3 linked regions of the Arabidopsis thaliana genome follow. The protein of the gene in region 2 interacts with the protein of the main gene of each other region in a biochemical or structural test. Each region holds a gene or a part of one and is shown on either strand. Other genes may lie near its edges.

Region 1 (4,058 bases), 3.7 Mb from region 2:
TACAGCATATAAGTTTTAATATTTAAAGTTAATATCGGAATATATAAACATGAATTTGCTATATGAATGTGAAATATTTTGACATCATCCGAATACAATGTGTTTTAAAACGAATTTTGCATCCATAAGCTCCATCTAGCTAGTTGCAAAGGTGAGAAATATTTCCTTTTTGGTTCTCAGCTTCTCATGACTATTCCAAAACGAGAAAAAAGGCAATCAAAATTTTTAAAGGCATTCACATATACATAAGGAAAGAGAAAATAAAACCGAGAAGTATTTTATGTTTGATGTATCTCCGATCCTAGTAAAGGCCCAAGATATTGATGCAAGGTATATGAGACCTAGCTCAGCCGTGATTTCTCCGTGAAGAAGACTCAGCTTTGTTAATAATTGAATGAGGCGGTGTATGATGCCAAAACCCTAGTTCGTTCTATTTGATTTTAATGATATTATTCAAAACCCTAGTTTTTAAAAAGTAACTAATTTTTTTTCGTTACTGCCAAGGAAAAACAATCGGCTTTTCATGCAACAAATCTCGTTAAAATTGGTTATGGGCCTGCATGTGAAAATGGAGCCAGAACCAGAAGAGGACTTGGTCAATGCATCGAGAACATTTGCGTAATATTCTTTTTTTTTTCTTTTTTAGTAGTTTTTAATCATCAGCGTAATCTAAGACTCCGACCAAGTCTTACACAAAACAAAAAGAAGAGAAGCTGAGAAATCTGACAAGGAATTAGAAAATGAAAAAGAAAGTTTTTTTCCATTAGTAATAACAGAGGAAAAACTTATGCTTCTGTTGGTTCTCCCTTGCATCTCGCTTTCCTTAGCTCATTTTTACTGTTACGGTGTTACGCACAACTAGAATAATCACTTGGAACACTCAGAATGTTGCAGCGGGCCAGTTCAACGATCAGACGAAGTAAACATCAAGATAGCAAGAGCAACCACTATCGACGACGAATTCAGTTTGTGAGGAAGAGCGTTGGTGTAGCTTGAGACACGTTTCAATCACGTGTAGCTAAAAATATCTAGATAATTGTAATAGAAAATAAATTAAATATTTTATGTATTAATTGGTTTAGTATGAGAAAAGCCAAAACATTGACCAAGTCTAAGATTAAGAAAGCTAGATGAGCAATTCACTATCAAAGACGAGAAGACTGAAGTAAAGACAAAATAAGAAGACTCATTAGCTGCTTCACAATCCTTATCTCTTTGATTGTAAGAAACTGAGTTACTTTATTTCGATGATACCAATTTTAAACGCAGAGAAAAAGCAACACGTCAATTTGTAAAGCAGAGCAAAACGAATTACAACTTGGCCAAAACTTCGACGTAAAAAGCAGCACATCAATTTGCTCTGCTTGGCGACGGTGGTGGTGGTGGAGATGGTGTTCCAATGGTAGTTTCGTTGTAGAACGAGTAAAGCTCGTACCTTGAATTACAACTTGGCCAAAACTGTCTTGCTCCAATTCTAGAAAGTGGCATTCTATTGATGGATCTTGTCAGACATCTCAAACAGTCTTGACTTGTAAGATCAGGAGTGCATTGAACAAGCCCGTACAAAGTCTGGAGTTCGGTCAATTCGGTCTTTATCGTAGAGAATTTTCTAGAACTGTTGGCTGCTTCCATGGCAGCTTGGTTCATATTAGATTGCACCAAAACTATAAACTGGTTTATTTGACTTTGATTAGGAGAAATAGTGTTGGTGTTACTCAAGATAAATTCTCCTTCGTTTGTAATGGCCGTCGATAGAATATTCTTGTCAGAGTATCTGAGTATACACTCCTCGTAATAGAACACAGCTTCTCTCTGACTTGGACACCTAGTTAACGCTTCGTCAACGGAGAAGGCAACGCAGTTACTGCAAACTTCCGGCGAGAGGTCTCCGCGGCAGAGGAAAAGTCCGGTGACCAGGTCGGGGGTTTGTCCCACCGTGACGTTCTGGAATCCGGTGGAGTAAGAGGCGTTGCGGGAAGCAAAAGAGGACAAAAGGGTTCTGAGATTGGTGGAGTAAGTGCTGAATCTTGAGTAAGTTGTCGTATTTGGACAATAATGATTTAAGTAAAAAGGATCTTGAGCGGAAGCTTTGAAGCTAGTGAGGAATGAGAAAAGGAAAAGGAAGATAAAAGAGATCAGAGAAGACATGGTGTTTTTTTCGACTTCGTTGATTTGAGTTTCACATCATGCAGCTTCCATTTATTAACGTGAATAGTTTGTGACGACCATAAGTCATCAATCAAAGTCAATGTAAACGATTTTTTTTTATGTCATTCCTTTTTATTAACAACAAAAGTCAAATTATTGGAAAAGGCCTTGTTGAAATAACCTATTTTGTTTTATGAATAAGATTACAAGCAACTGATATCTCGACAATAATTTAGTGAAACTAAACTTTTTGAGTAAGAAAATTAATTAGGGCTACAAACTGAATAAACTAGGGTTGTGAAATTATTGTTTTAACTTATAACTGTTCGTTTGTTACTTGTCTGGTAAGGAACTTTAACTGTGCTGTCTTTTTGACCCAAAGTCTCGGCGCCAAGCGGAATAATCATCAACCTCACTTCAATAATATTCAATTCCAACCCATATTTTTCTCGGAAATAGATTGATAGACGTCAAAACATAGAAAATTTATAAATCTATTTTCTCTGGTTGTCACTTCCACGTGTTTTAGTCTAACATTTGAATAACAATAAAAGTTGATGTTCATCATATAGGTGACTTTGACTTTCAAAAAATTGTATTAGTTAGTTAGTTTATAACAAAGTAAGAAAAGAAAAAACTTTGACGTGCTAGATGGTTTCACATTTCATTTATTTTACTACTTTTACAAATCATGTAAATCACCTTCCCACATTACTCTGTTTTCCCTCTGTTCCCAAATCAGAAGGTACAAGATCATTGGAGGTATTGCTAAAGCGATTATATATCTTCATCATTCACGACTCTCAATCAGACATTGTGACTTCAAAGCAGGTAATATCCTCATAGACGCTGAAATGAAATCCAAAGTTACAGATTTTGGATTGGCCAAATTTTTAGAATGGACCAAACTTTAATGCCAATTGCCAACATTCTAAGTGTTCTCTCCATTTCTCATTTCTCTCCATATCTAATTATTCTTTAATAAAAAATCAAAACAAAGTACACATATGGTTTTAACAAACCAAATCAAAACTAAACAATTTATTGGGTTGATCACACCTAGAAATATGAAAATATATGCTTAAACTTCATTACAACCGTGAAGGTAAACATCATATTTAGCGCGGATATAAATCAGTGATCAATTCATCGTCAATAGATGCTGGAGTAGACTTGGTCGTGGTAGACTGATCTGAATCAGTCGGGTCCTTTACGGGACTACTTTGAATGAAAAACCCTGGTTGCCGAGGCACTGGTAAGGTCACAGTATTACTAGTGAGCATCATGAAAACGGTTGATATTGTCGGACGCTTTGCAGGATCTTCTTGAACACATAAAAGACCGATATGGATGCATCGAACCACTTCGCTATTCTGGCAGTTATTTGCTATAAGTGGATCCACGAGGTCTAATGCTGTTCTGTTAGTCCAAAGCCTCCAAGTCTAGAATATCAATCAATAAATCAGTTCTAGCTACTAACGTTACGTGTTGTAATGTAAGAGAGGTATATATTGATTGCCTAAAAACTTACATGTGTGAGCAAGTCTTGTGCGCCGTCTGACTCGTCGAAGCTACTATTCTTCCTACCACTTATAATCTCAAGAACTAACACTCCGAAGCTATAGACATCAGATTTCATTGAGAATTGGCCATGCATCGCATACTCGGGAGCCATGTAACCGCTGGAATCCACAACAAAACTTTAGTATATATGTTGGCAAAATAAAATTTCCAACAAACTTTAACGTATGAGATGTTAGGTGGAACACTTACTAGGTACCAACTATTCGGCTTGTGTTATCCTGGGTTTGGTCCAATCCGAAGATCCTAGCCATTCCAAAATCTGCAATTTTCGGATTTATATCCGCATCTAGGAGAATGTTACTTGCTTTAAGGTCACGGTGTATGAT
Region 2 (5,054 bases):
ATTATTCTGAGAAATTGGGAGGAAATAAGTGAAAGTGTGGATTGGGTTTTCTCTTTTCTGTATACTTAAATTGGGATTTTCTGTTTGAGGGGTTTTTGATAAAGTGTGGAAATTTTTTTACTACCTGTAATTTTATTATTATTTTCTTACTAAATATTATATGGGCATGGCTTTCTCACAGTCTCACTTTTCTTTTTTTTTACATAAATCATTTTCAATTATTCTTTAAAGTGTCTAGACTAGTGGTTTAGCCATTAGATATTTTCGTTTGAGTGAAGGAGTTCAACTCCTCACTTTCATGAGGAAAATAATATCCAAATACTTTAGCATTCACATAAACTCAATATGCTGCTTTGTTTTAAGATTTTTTGCATTTTCCACAAAAAAAATTGTGTTTCGTATTCATTCGCTAAATATAATTCCAAAATCATATTGAAACACCTATAATCAAAGATTGCAAGAAGAAGAAAAATATCATATCGAAAAAGCTATAATATAGAAACAAACTATGTATAAACAGAATTCCAAAATCATATAGAGAAAGCTATAATATAGAGATTATATTGGATTTGACAGCTTCACAAGTGATAAAACAAAACTGGATCTGAAAATTTCAATGAATGTGGAATAATGGAGAATTTGTTGAGATGGTGTGAACACGAAGTAGTAACAACTAACAAGGTAATTAAGGATCATTGGCTTATATAATAAATAGATTTAGAAAAAGTAATCAGTCAATGTTGATCATCATCTTGACAAATTCATCATAATTGACTTGGCCATCACCATCCAAATCTGCCTCCTTTATCATTTGTTCAACTTCTTCATCTGTTAGCTTTTCTCCTAGATTTATCATTACATGACTCAACTGCAATAACAAAGCTTTTCAAATTAATAAATAATTAACGTAATTGTTAGTCTAATTATTGTAAATTAAGTTGTGCATGTTAATCAGACGGGTCTGACCCTGTACAGAGAATAATAATTGTTTATTATCCATTTGAATATGCAATACAATATAGTAGGTCAAACGGCCTAACTTGAACAATTTCTAATTTCGGTACGAAAAATATGAATAAACCAAATTCATACAATTGTTTAGTTTTTTTTTTTTTAAGTTGTAAGCAAAATACAGCTGGTTTTAGCCTAAGTTTTGACCAATCGATATAGAAAACCCCAAATTAATAAATTGAATTGTGTTGCATGCAAAAAGGTGTCTGCATTAATGTAACTTTTGAGGATGTAAAGAAAGGTATATATATTTAATTAAACTAGGTGAAACATGTGCCCTCCTGTCAAATAAACCAATAAAATCAAACGCATTTTACTCTATCTAACTACTTTGTATTAAAATTTCTTTTGTTCCTCTTCGTTATTCTCTAAAGATTCACAATGCCAGCTAGCTCTAAGCCCTCACGATGGAAAACAGACTTTCGAAAATATAAAATCAAATAAATAAATGGCCATGTCTTGTTAAAAAATGTTTTAGAACATAAATGAGACAACTATGGATCTCTTTAAATTGGAAGATCGTCTGGCTTTGTTGTCTGATATTTGTCATTGATTCTACATATGTGAAAGTGTGTTTTAGCTGGATTTCTCGTTTTTTCTAGTTAATGCAGAATTAATTGGTCCAAGTGGTTACATAAAAATACTATGCTCATAATTATTGTGCTTAGCCTGTATTTGACGACACTTTAGAGATATAGAGCATGTACCACTTAAGCAAAGAAGACATTTATGAAATTGGTTCATGTACCTAAACTAAATTTGACAATAACCAAAATTTAGATAAGGATTTCTAGTAGATACAAAAATCTAAATAATTATAGCTCTAATCATTTATAACCAAATAAAAACACAGTTAGACCGTACATGGTATTATTGGAGAACGTTGTACAAAACGCAATCCAGTGCATCGAACTAATTTGTTTTTATAAGTTCTTAAAGAGGATTTTCCGCATAAGTTCCCTTTTAAGTTCTCAATAAGTCAAGCATATATCTAACTAAATATACACATTGACACATATATCAAATTAGTAATAAAGAGAGAAAAAAAAGAGAGTAAGAGTCACGGACCTCACTGGCAGAGATGTATCCATTTTGGTCTTTGTCAAAGACTTTGAATGCTTCTTTCAGCTCTTCCTCCGCATCACTTTCCTAAACCATCACATGATCATGACAACAACTTAACATACAAAAAAACTATTGTCATAAAAGTCTTTGTTTACATTATACACATTTACGTGTCTAGTTCTTCACAAATCAGATTTATTCGTAGTGAAAAACCGAAAGCAAAACAGATTTTGCTGTAATACAAAAGCTGAATATTTCCAATATATTTCTTAAGAGTTTTTAATAAACTAGAAGCATAATGAATGAGACAGCTCCATTTTGACTAGAACCTGTTAGGATCCCATATCAAAGAGTTACAATAAGGGACCTATAACATAATATATAAGAAATCATATAGACAAAAAAATTTCACTTGATGTAACTTTTTGGTTTGTACGTGGCTACGTTAACTTGATGTAATTAGTTGTGAAATAAATAAGCATGAGAGATCAAGAGAGAGTGGAACCTGAAGTTTTTTGGCCATGAGGTTGAGAAACTCAGCAAATTCAATGGTGCCGTTGCTATCAGAATCAATCTCAGTGATGATATCATGAAGTTCTTGTTCTGTCGGATTCTGATCCAACGAACGGATCACTGTTGCAAGTTCTTCCACCGTTATACAACCTATTAAAGGATTCCAAACAACCATAAATAAATGTCACACAACATAATATTAGTCGTCGTCTTTATTATCTTTATTCTATATATGACCATCTAGAGAAAGGAAGAGAACCGTCGCCGTCTTTGTCGAAGAGACAAAAGGCTTCTTTGAACTCAGTGATCTGATCTTTTGTCAGTGCTGTTTCTTCCATTGTTTTCTGAGAATATTTTGAAGACAAAGAGAGAGAGAGAGAGAGAGGAGGGAGCTCAAGGTTTGAAGTGCTTAAATCTCTGATTTATGGTCTATATGTAGAGTTGTGACAAGACCTTTTCTACATTGGACTTATGTACTTTTCAACTACTTTAAGCTCTTTAATTGATTCTCAAATTATTTTAAATTGAAAGGGCAGTACTGTTTTTTTTTTGGGTCTAGAACTCTTGGATTGAACAATTTAATTCTAGTCACATGGCTGAATCCCATATAATAAATTAATAATTGTCGCTGTTTGTTAAAGTTCAAATCACTTGTGCAAAATTAGTTTTGAAAAAATCATCTTATTCTAACAAGTAGAGACTACTACAAATAGACATAGAACGACAAGTCCTAAAACAAACAAGTATAAGCCTACAATAGTCTTTGATAAAACGTCCCTAACTTTTTCTGTCTAGTTCAAACCCATTAGCCACTCATTTTGTACGCAACAATTATGTTCTTTTGTTTTTTGTTTTTTTCTGTTTTTTCTTAAATAAAAATAAAAATATTTTATTGAAATGATAAAAATATAAATTTACAATCAAAAGATTTTAAGCCTATACAAATGATCCTATAACAAGAAAAATAAAACATAGAAGCATACATCGTGATTCACAAGTTTTGGTCAATCAACTCAACCAAAGCGTTGAAGCCGAACGAGTTAGATAAAAATATGACTATTTTGAAATTTTATCTTATAATTAAGTTTTTTGTTTTTTGTTTTTTTAAGAAGAAGGGTAACTACTGCTTGAAAAAAGCATAATGCTAAACTATTTGCATTAAAAACTTTGAATTGGAGGTCTAAGGATGAGCCGTCAACGGTAGAAACTCAAAGTTCTCTGGCATAAACTCCTCTCGCGTCATGTGACAGTGACTCGTTGTTCAAGTCCATAAGCTTTCCAATAATATGGAACCTCAAGAACCAAATTATGCGAACGATGCAAGCTCCATCTACCAATTTCTTTCCCCAAAGTCGGATAGAGCAGAGCATGATTTATGCGATTCATAACCACATCGAACACCATCGATCTTACTAACTCTTCTAGAACACAAAACAAACGCAACAAGAGGTGATAACTCATTGCAGCACTAACTTCAATTATGAAGAACCGCACTAGCAAGACACATTCAAAACCAGGTAGCACAAATAACTAGTCAAGAAATACAAGTGATGTCAACAAAAGAGACCGCAATTTAGCCACCACCGCAGCTACCAAATACACAATCTGAGAACCGAGACGATGCGATAAACTTGACGCTTTAAACATGTTCTTTTGTTTTTTCTGACTTCAAAATCAGTGATCACACTCTTTTAATACTCAGAAAGAACAACATTGAAATTTGTCTACGTACATCTCAACATAATGACCTCATTGGCCATCTTACCCGCTCCTGTCCATAGAAGACATATTAACGTACAACTCGACTGTCCATAGCTGTGAATGCATTAAGGCTATGAAGCTTAACTTGGCCAGCATGATTTTGTAGAATCCGTGCGTTCCCACACAATGATTTAAAAGTTTATCCACACAAATCATTCTATTTTCAAATTTGTTCCGATCGACGACATTTTCTAGAATTCACGGAGGTAGGAATTTTGAGAATATTACAGATTCATTTGAATCACATATTCACACCACTTATTTATTTTCCTATACATTTTGTTTGAATAATTGCGACTGTTTTTATATAACAGATGAAAATATATATTCCACGTCACATATCATAATTGAGAAGAATATCTACTGCTAAAAGATTGTAATCATTAAGAAGAATATCTACTGCTAAGAAATAATTTAGGAGATACTTGCTGACTTGCATTGAATCTGCAATTGGTATTCGAACAGTAGGGGAAATGCATGTATCATACGTTGCATTATAAGTTCATAAGCACGATATAAGAAAATAATTATAAATAAACGATTAGACGTAGCAAATTAACGAACCAGCAATTTCTTTTTGAAACGATTCAACTTTTCATATTTTGAGTTTCTAGAAACGAATTGTAAAAACAAAAAAAAAAACAAAATTATGGGGCTTTTCTTCATTAGTAATCTTTGCATTTTTACTCTTCCTAGGTGGGAAA
Region 3 (5,447 bases), on a different chromosome or scaffold from region 2:
GTCGAACCTACGACCTTCTGCTTAGGAAACAGACGCTCTATCCACTGAGCTACAGACGCTTCTTTGGGAGTTAGAATCATAATATTAATAATGAAGAATAAATGTCAATAGCATTGAGCCATTGAGAAAATCGGTTGAACTGACTTCTCTAACTGAAAATTCACATTGGTGAGTTTGGTGGCGATTTAATTTTTGGGCGTATATTATTTTTTAGAAAATTAAGATAGAAATTAATGGTTGTGGTAGTATATATTAACGGGTTTAGTTCACCAACTAACACAATTAATCTTCCCTACTTACACTGCGATCGTTTGTTTTTATCTAGTTCTAAATTACTAGAACTAGTTTACTTCAGACAACAAACTTTATAAGTAGAAAACCGAGTCATTGTAGATTATTATATTTGTAATTTACTTAATGATGTTACCATGAAAACTATAAGTAGTATATATAAGAATTTTCTTTTGCGTATGGACTATATACGTCTGAGAAACAAAACCTAACTGTTACTAATGGAGTTTCAATGTAATGAATTGAGTTTGGACTTTGGCGTTTTGAGATAGACAAGTACTAAACATTTCACTTGGGTTTGTCTCACGGAAAGGTGGTTGATTTTAATGCCTTCGGGTGATAACTCTTTTTTTTTTCTCCACGCCTTAGGTGATGGTAAACTCATAAAGTCATTTTAATCCTCGAAAATTAAGGATCTATCCACGCCTCATATTATAAAGTAAGATTTGTGTTTATTATGGCATCCCATATGGCCATTGGTGCAAGTTTGAGGTGGGTCCAAATTGTCACGCATGAAAAATTGACAATGGTTACGTTGAGAAAGAAAACTACTAAAATAGTAGTATAGTTTATTCGTAAACCAAAACAATTGTAGCCATCATTACGAATGGATAGCTCTTGTTATTAACTTTCAAATAACAGGGATTATGTAGTAGAAACTTGTTTTTTTGTATTAGTATTATGGCTCGAAAGTGATAGTATTTGTGAATACAAATATTCTAGTAATAGTTGAATATTAAAAAATCATATCAATGATACGATGGCTTAATTTTGTAGTCAAATTTGTCTGCCATATGTTTCCTCTCTTTATGCCGCCACGAAAAAATTGAAAATATAAAGAAGAAGAAACAGACAGCACACTCACAATTTGTCGAATTTTTAACTAATGATTTTGTCAACTTCTATAAGTGCAAATCCATATTTTTTATTCCTTGGTTATAGAATTTTATTTAACTTTTACTAATTTTCGTTGTTTTAATAATTTTAAATCATACTAGCAAAAAATGTCATCCAAAATTAACTAAAACCTAATGTTCCGACACTTTCAATCTCATTCTACATGTAAACAAAAAGCTCAAAAATGTAAGAAAAAAATAACAAGGTTTGCTAAATTAGAAGAGCTATTTAATATCACATGCGCTATTTAATTTTCTTTTTTAATCACGAATCACGAATTAGCTATTTTGCGGAGAATAGAATTTGAGTGAAATATAATCATAACAAAATCCCTTTAATATTAACTCTCAATTCATTACAAGCAAAGGTGATGTCTTATTTTATATGACGAAAATGCCCACAAACCAGCCAGATATATCAACCGTTTGAGTTCTTTACATCGTAAATGCGTTAGTTACGGCAACAATCTCTAATCCTTTCATCTTCCTCAAAATTATTAAAATCATAGGACTACTAATTTAGAAACAAGAAATTACAAAAAACAAAACAAGAAAAACAAAACTTGACTTGACTTGCAGTTGAAAGTAAAAAATAAAAACAAAAGTTGAATTGCTACGGTGGAGTTGTATAAATATAGCAGAGATTCCAATCCATCTCCACTCAGCAAAAGCTGACTCTTCTTCTAACTTTCTATTTCTTCCAAGAATAACAAACTTTTTTCTCATAAGAAACAAAACAAGAATTCTACAAAACTTCTCATTAAACCTCTGTTTTCTTGTTTCTCTTCTGCTCTGTATTTTCGATAATTCTCTCTGTTTTGTATCCTTTCTTATTTTCTGTGAATCTGTTTTTTTATGGAAATTTAATTCAAAGGCTTATTAGAGGAAGAAAGAAAGAAAAAGAAAAAAAAACCCACTGGAGCTATGGCTGTTGAAGGTAAACCTAAACATAAAATTTGTTTGCTTTTTGTTAAGAAAGTGGGGGAAAAAAATAAAATCATTGATGCAAATTTATTTTCTGGGTTTATGAAAATTTACGCAGACATGTTATAGAACTGACTTTTTGTATTCCTTGTAACATTAACAGATAACAAGAACAGTGAAAGCAAAAATCATCAAGAGGTAGAGCTTCATAGGAACGACTTAGGCCTCGAAGATTCATCATCGCCAAGAGGTGTTCTCGGAATGGTTTCAGATTCCGACAACAGCAGCAGTAGTTGCAGCTCTTGTTCCTCTGATGATAAATCATCATCAACATCGTCACCATTTTCAAATACTACTAAAACCGTTTCGTCTTCTCACCATGGTCTTCAATGGAACAAAATGATTGAATCTATCAAGAAGAAGTCCATGAGACGATTCTCTGTCATTCCTCTTCTTGCAAGTTACGAACTCACCCGTAAAAACTTGCGTCGTAAGCAACCTAAGCTAACTCCCTCTGAGAGTGCTTTCACCTGTGAAGCCTTCTTTATGGCTAAACCCTCTTGGAGAAACTTCACTTACGAAGAGCTCGCTGTAGCCACCGATTATTTCAATCCTGGTATACACAAAAACGCAAACCCTTCTTCAATAGATTTTGGATTGAGAAATTTGAGTTTTGGTTTTGTTTTTTTGTTAGAGAACATGATTGGTAAGGGAGGACATGCGGAGGTATACAAAGGGGTTTTGATTAATGGTGAGACGGTGGCGATTAAGAAGCTGATGAGTCACGCCAAGGAAGAAGAAGAAAGAGTGAGCGATTTCCTTTCAGAGCTCGGTATAATCGCACATGTAAACCACCCAAACGCAGCTAGGCTTCGCGGTTTCAGCAGTGATCGCGGTTTGCATTTTGTTCTTGAGTACGCTCCCTATGGCAGCCTCGCTTCTATGCTTTTTGGTATACTTAAAAGTCTCCTTCTTACTGAAAATCTTGTGTCTAGTACTTTTTTCTACAATGTTGTGATATTGTCTCTTTGATCTTTGTAGGATCAGAGGAATGTCTAGAGTGGAAGATAAGGTATAAAGTGGCTCTAGGTATAGCTGATGGTCTGAGTTATCTTCATAATGCTTGTCCAAGAAGGATCATTCACCGTGACATCAAAGCTTCTAACATATTGCTCAACCACGATTACGAAGCTCAGGTAAATGATCTTGACAAATGACAACATCTCTAAACATTTTCTTGGTATTTGGTTGGTTTGAGAACCATTTACATATTGTACATTTTCTCAATTCAGATTTCAGATTTCGGACTTGCAAAATGGCTCCCAGAGAACTGGCCTCACCATGTTGTATTCCCCATTGAAGGAACATTCGGGTAAAAGAGAGAAAGCTTTGTAACTATCCATGAACAGCTTTGCTGATCAAAACTATAGGTTTCATTGGGTTTTTTCTCCCTTTAGATATCTAGCTCCAGAGTATTTCATGCACGGCATTGTTGATGAGAAGATTGATGTGTTTGCCTTTGGAGTATTGCTTCTAGAGATCATAACCAGTCGCCGAGCTGTTGATACAGCAAGCAGGCAGAGCATTGTTGCATGGGTAAATGCATCAGTGACTCTTTATTGAGACTCATCAAAAGTTCAGCTTGAGATCTTTTGTTTACCTTATTGATTTGGTTATACAGGCAAAACCTTTTCTTGAGAAAAATAGCATGGAGGACATTGTGGATCCTCGGCTAGGAAATATGTTTAATCCAACAGAGATGCAACGAGTGATGCTAACAGCTTCAATGTGTGTACATCATATTGCCGCAATGCGACCTGACATGACTCGGGTATAGTACCTATTCTTCCCATGTTCATAGAGCCAAAACAGATCTTTGGTATCGGTTTTGATGTGAATTCTTTGTGCAGTTGGTGCAGCTGTTACGTGGAGAAGACGGACCAGCTGAGCTACAGCAGAAGGCAGGTGAAAGAACAATGAGCGTGAACGCTTGTGATCTACAAGATCACACCTCTTCCTCATACCTCAACGAACTCCGCCGCCATAGGCAACTCTTAATGGAGTGAGTAGAAGCAATAACATCAACTTAAAGAACTGTTTATCAACCTCTTTCTTTTTAGATTTTTATTTTCTTGACTTGAGTTTTGCTTGTTATTCTCCATTGGTTGCTTTTTTTTCTTGTCCAACCAAACTGTGAATATCTTCAACTTGTGTCTCTCTGTTGCTTCTACTGAACTTTGTTAGTCTCAACCTCTCGGTAGAGTTGTCAATTTGTTACCAATGAGCTCACAAGTAGATAGATATCAAACAAATAGCAACACAGAACTTTCTGAAGATAATTTTTTCATAAATGGAAACAGAGTACACTGCGGATAAGCTGATAGCCTTATACATACAAGATACAAAAGAAACCATCCCCCCTAATTCCCAAAAACTACCATTTTTCTCCACCGAGTTTAGGTTTAATACATTCTTCCACATTTCCAACCCCCAACTACTCCTGCCTAAACAACAACAGTTAATCAAAAACAAAAGTGAGATTTTTAAGATTCTTCTAGTCAGCTTATGTGTTAGCCAGAATCAAGAAGTTGTGTCTCTTATAACGATAAAAACTTGACTCAATCAACTTATATGATTGGTTTTAGTAAGACTGATTAGGCCAGAGGAAGAACTCAGCCGGATTTGGTGCCATAAGTCCCATTGTTCCCTGAACGTTGGAGTTGTTGTTAGACCCGGTCGAGTCAGAAGCTGCATTCGCCGGAAAATGCTGGAAGAAGTTCTGTTGCTGCTGCTGCTGTTGGTGTTGCTGTTGTTGTTGGTGGTGGTGGTAAAGAGCAGCTGCTTCAAAAGGGATTCCACAAGGAATGATCTGTTGAGACTGAACTGCTGAATTAGGACAGAGAGCGAAGTTAATGCTACTGTGATTAGGAGATGACTGAAGCTGAAGCTGTTGTTGTTGTTGTTGTTGCTGGAAATGGTGAAGTTGATGATGACCGAGGATTGGTTTCTGCTCTGATGAAGCAGCAGCTTCCAAAGAGAGCTTAAGACGTTTAGCTGCACCACCGATGGGAAGTGCACTCTTCATGATGGCTTCAACGTCGTAACGGTTCATCTCAAAGTTAGTTACAGCGTTTATTCCTCTGAATTTGATTGCTGCTATGTCATACGCTTCAGCTGCTTCCTCTTCCGTTGCTACAACAACAACACCAGGACTAACTAATTAACCACAGACAATGATTGTTAAATTAGCTAGACCAAGTTTGAAGATTTTACATACCAAAGGTTCCAAGGTAAAGATCTTTGTTCCCAGCAACTCGGCCAATCCTTGCTTGCCAA

The links. The genes of interacting proteins can lie anywhere in the genome.
Region 1: the proteins of CAM8 (region 2) and EP1 form a complex in vitro, tested with the Arabidopsis thaliana proteins (one large-scale study listed by BioGRID).
Region 3: the proteins of CAM8 (region 2) and RBK1 form a complex in vitro, tested with the Arabidopsis thaliana proteins (one large-scale study listed by BioGRID).

What each region holds. Positions count from the first base shown.
Region 1 is NC_003075.7:12,133,295-12,137,352, reverse strand, and holds EP1 (receptor-like protein kinase-related family protein), read right to left. Parts: upstream 2,381-4,058; 5' UTR 2,149-2,380; coding exon 1,351-2,148; 3' UTR 557-1,350; downstream 1-556.
Region 2 is NC_003075.7:8,395,673-8,400,726, reverse strand, and holds CAM8 (calmodulin 8), read right to left. Parts: upstream 3,016-5,054; 5' UTR 2,928-3,015; coding exon 2,849-2,927; exon of another isoform or gene 2,765-2,848; coding exon of another isoform or gene 2,740-2,764; coding exon 2,582-2,739; intron 2,161-2,581; coding exon 2,080-2,160; coding exon of another isoform or gene 2,032-2,079; exon of another isoform or gene 2,022-2,031; intron 869-2,021; coding exon 731-868; 3' UTR 501-730; downstream 1-500.
Region 3 is NC_003076.8:3,319,314-3,324,760, reverse strand, and holds RBK1 (ROP binding protein kinases 1), read left to right. Parts: upstream 1-1,850; 5' UTR 1,851-2,111; coding exon 2,112-2,124; intron 2,125-2,274; coding exon 2,275-2,727; intron 2,728-2,805; coding exon 2,806-3,063; intron 3,064-3,152; coding exon 3,153-3,307; intron 3,308-3,403; coding exon 3,404-3,483; intron 3,484-3,568; coding exon 3,569-3,707; coding exon of another isoform or gene 3,708-3,734; exon of another isoform or gene 3,735-3,792; coding exon 3,793-3,942; intron 3,943-4,021; coding exon 4,022-4,177; 3' UTR 4,178-4,752; downstream 4,753-5,447. Other genes in the region: AIL6 (AINTEGUMENTA-like 6), read right to left, coding at 4,753-5,303, 5,389-5,447.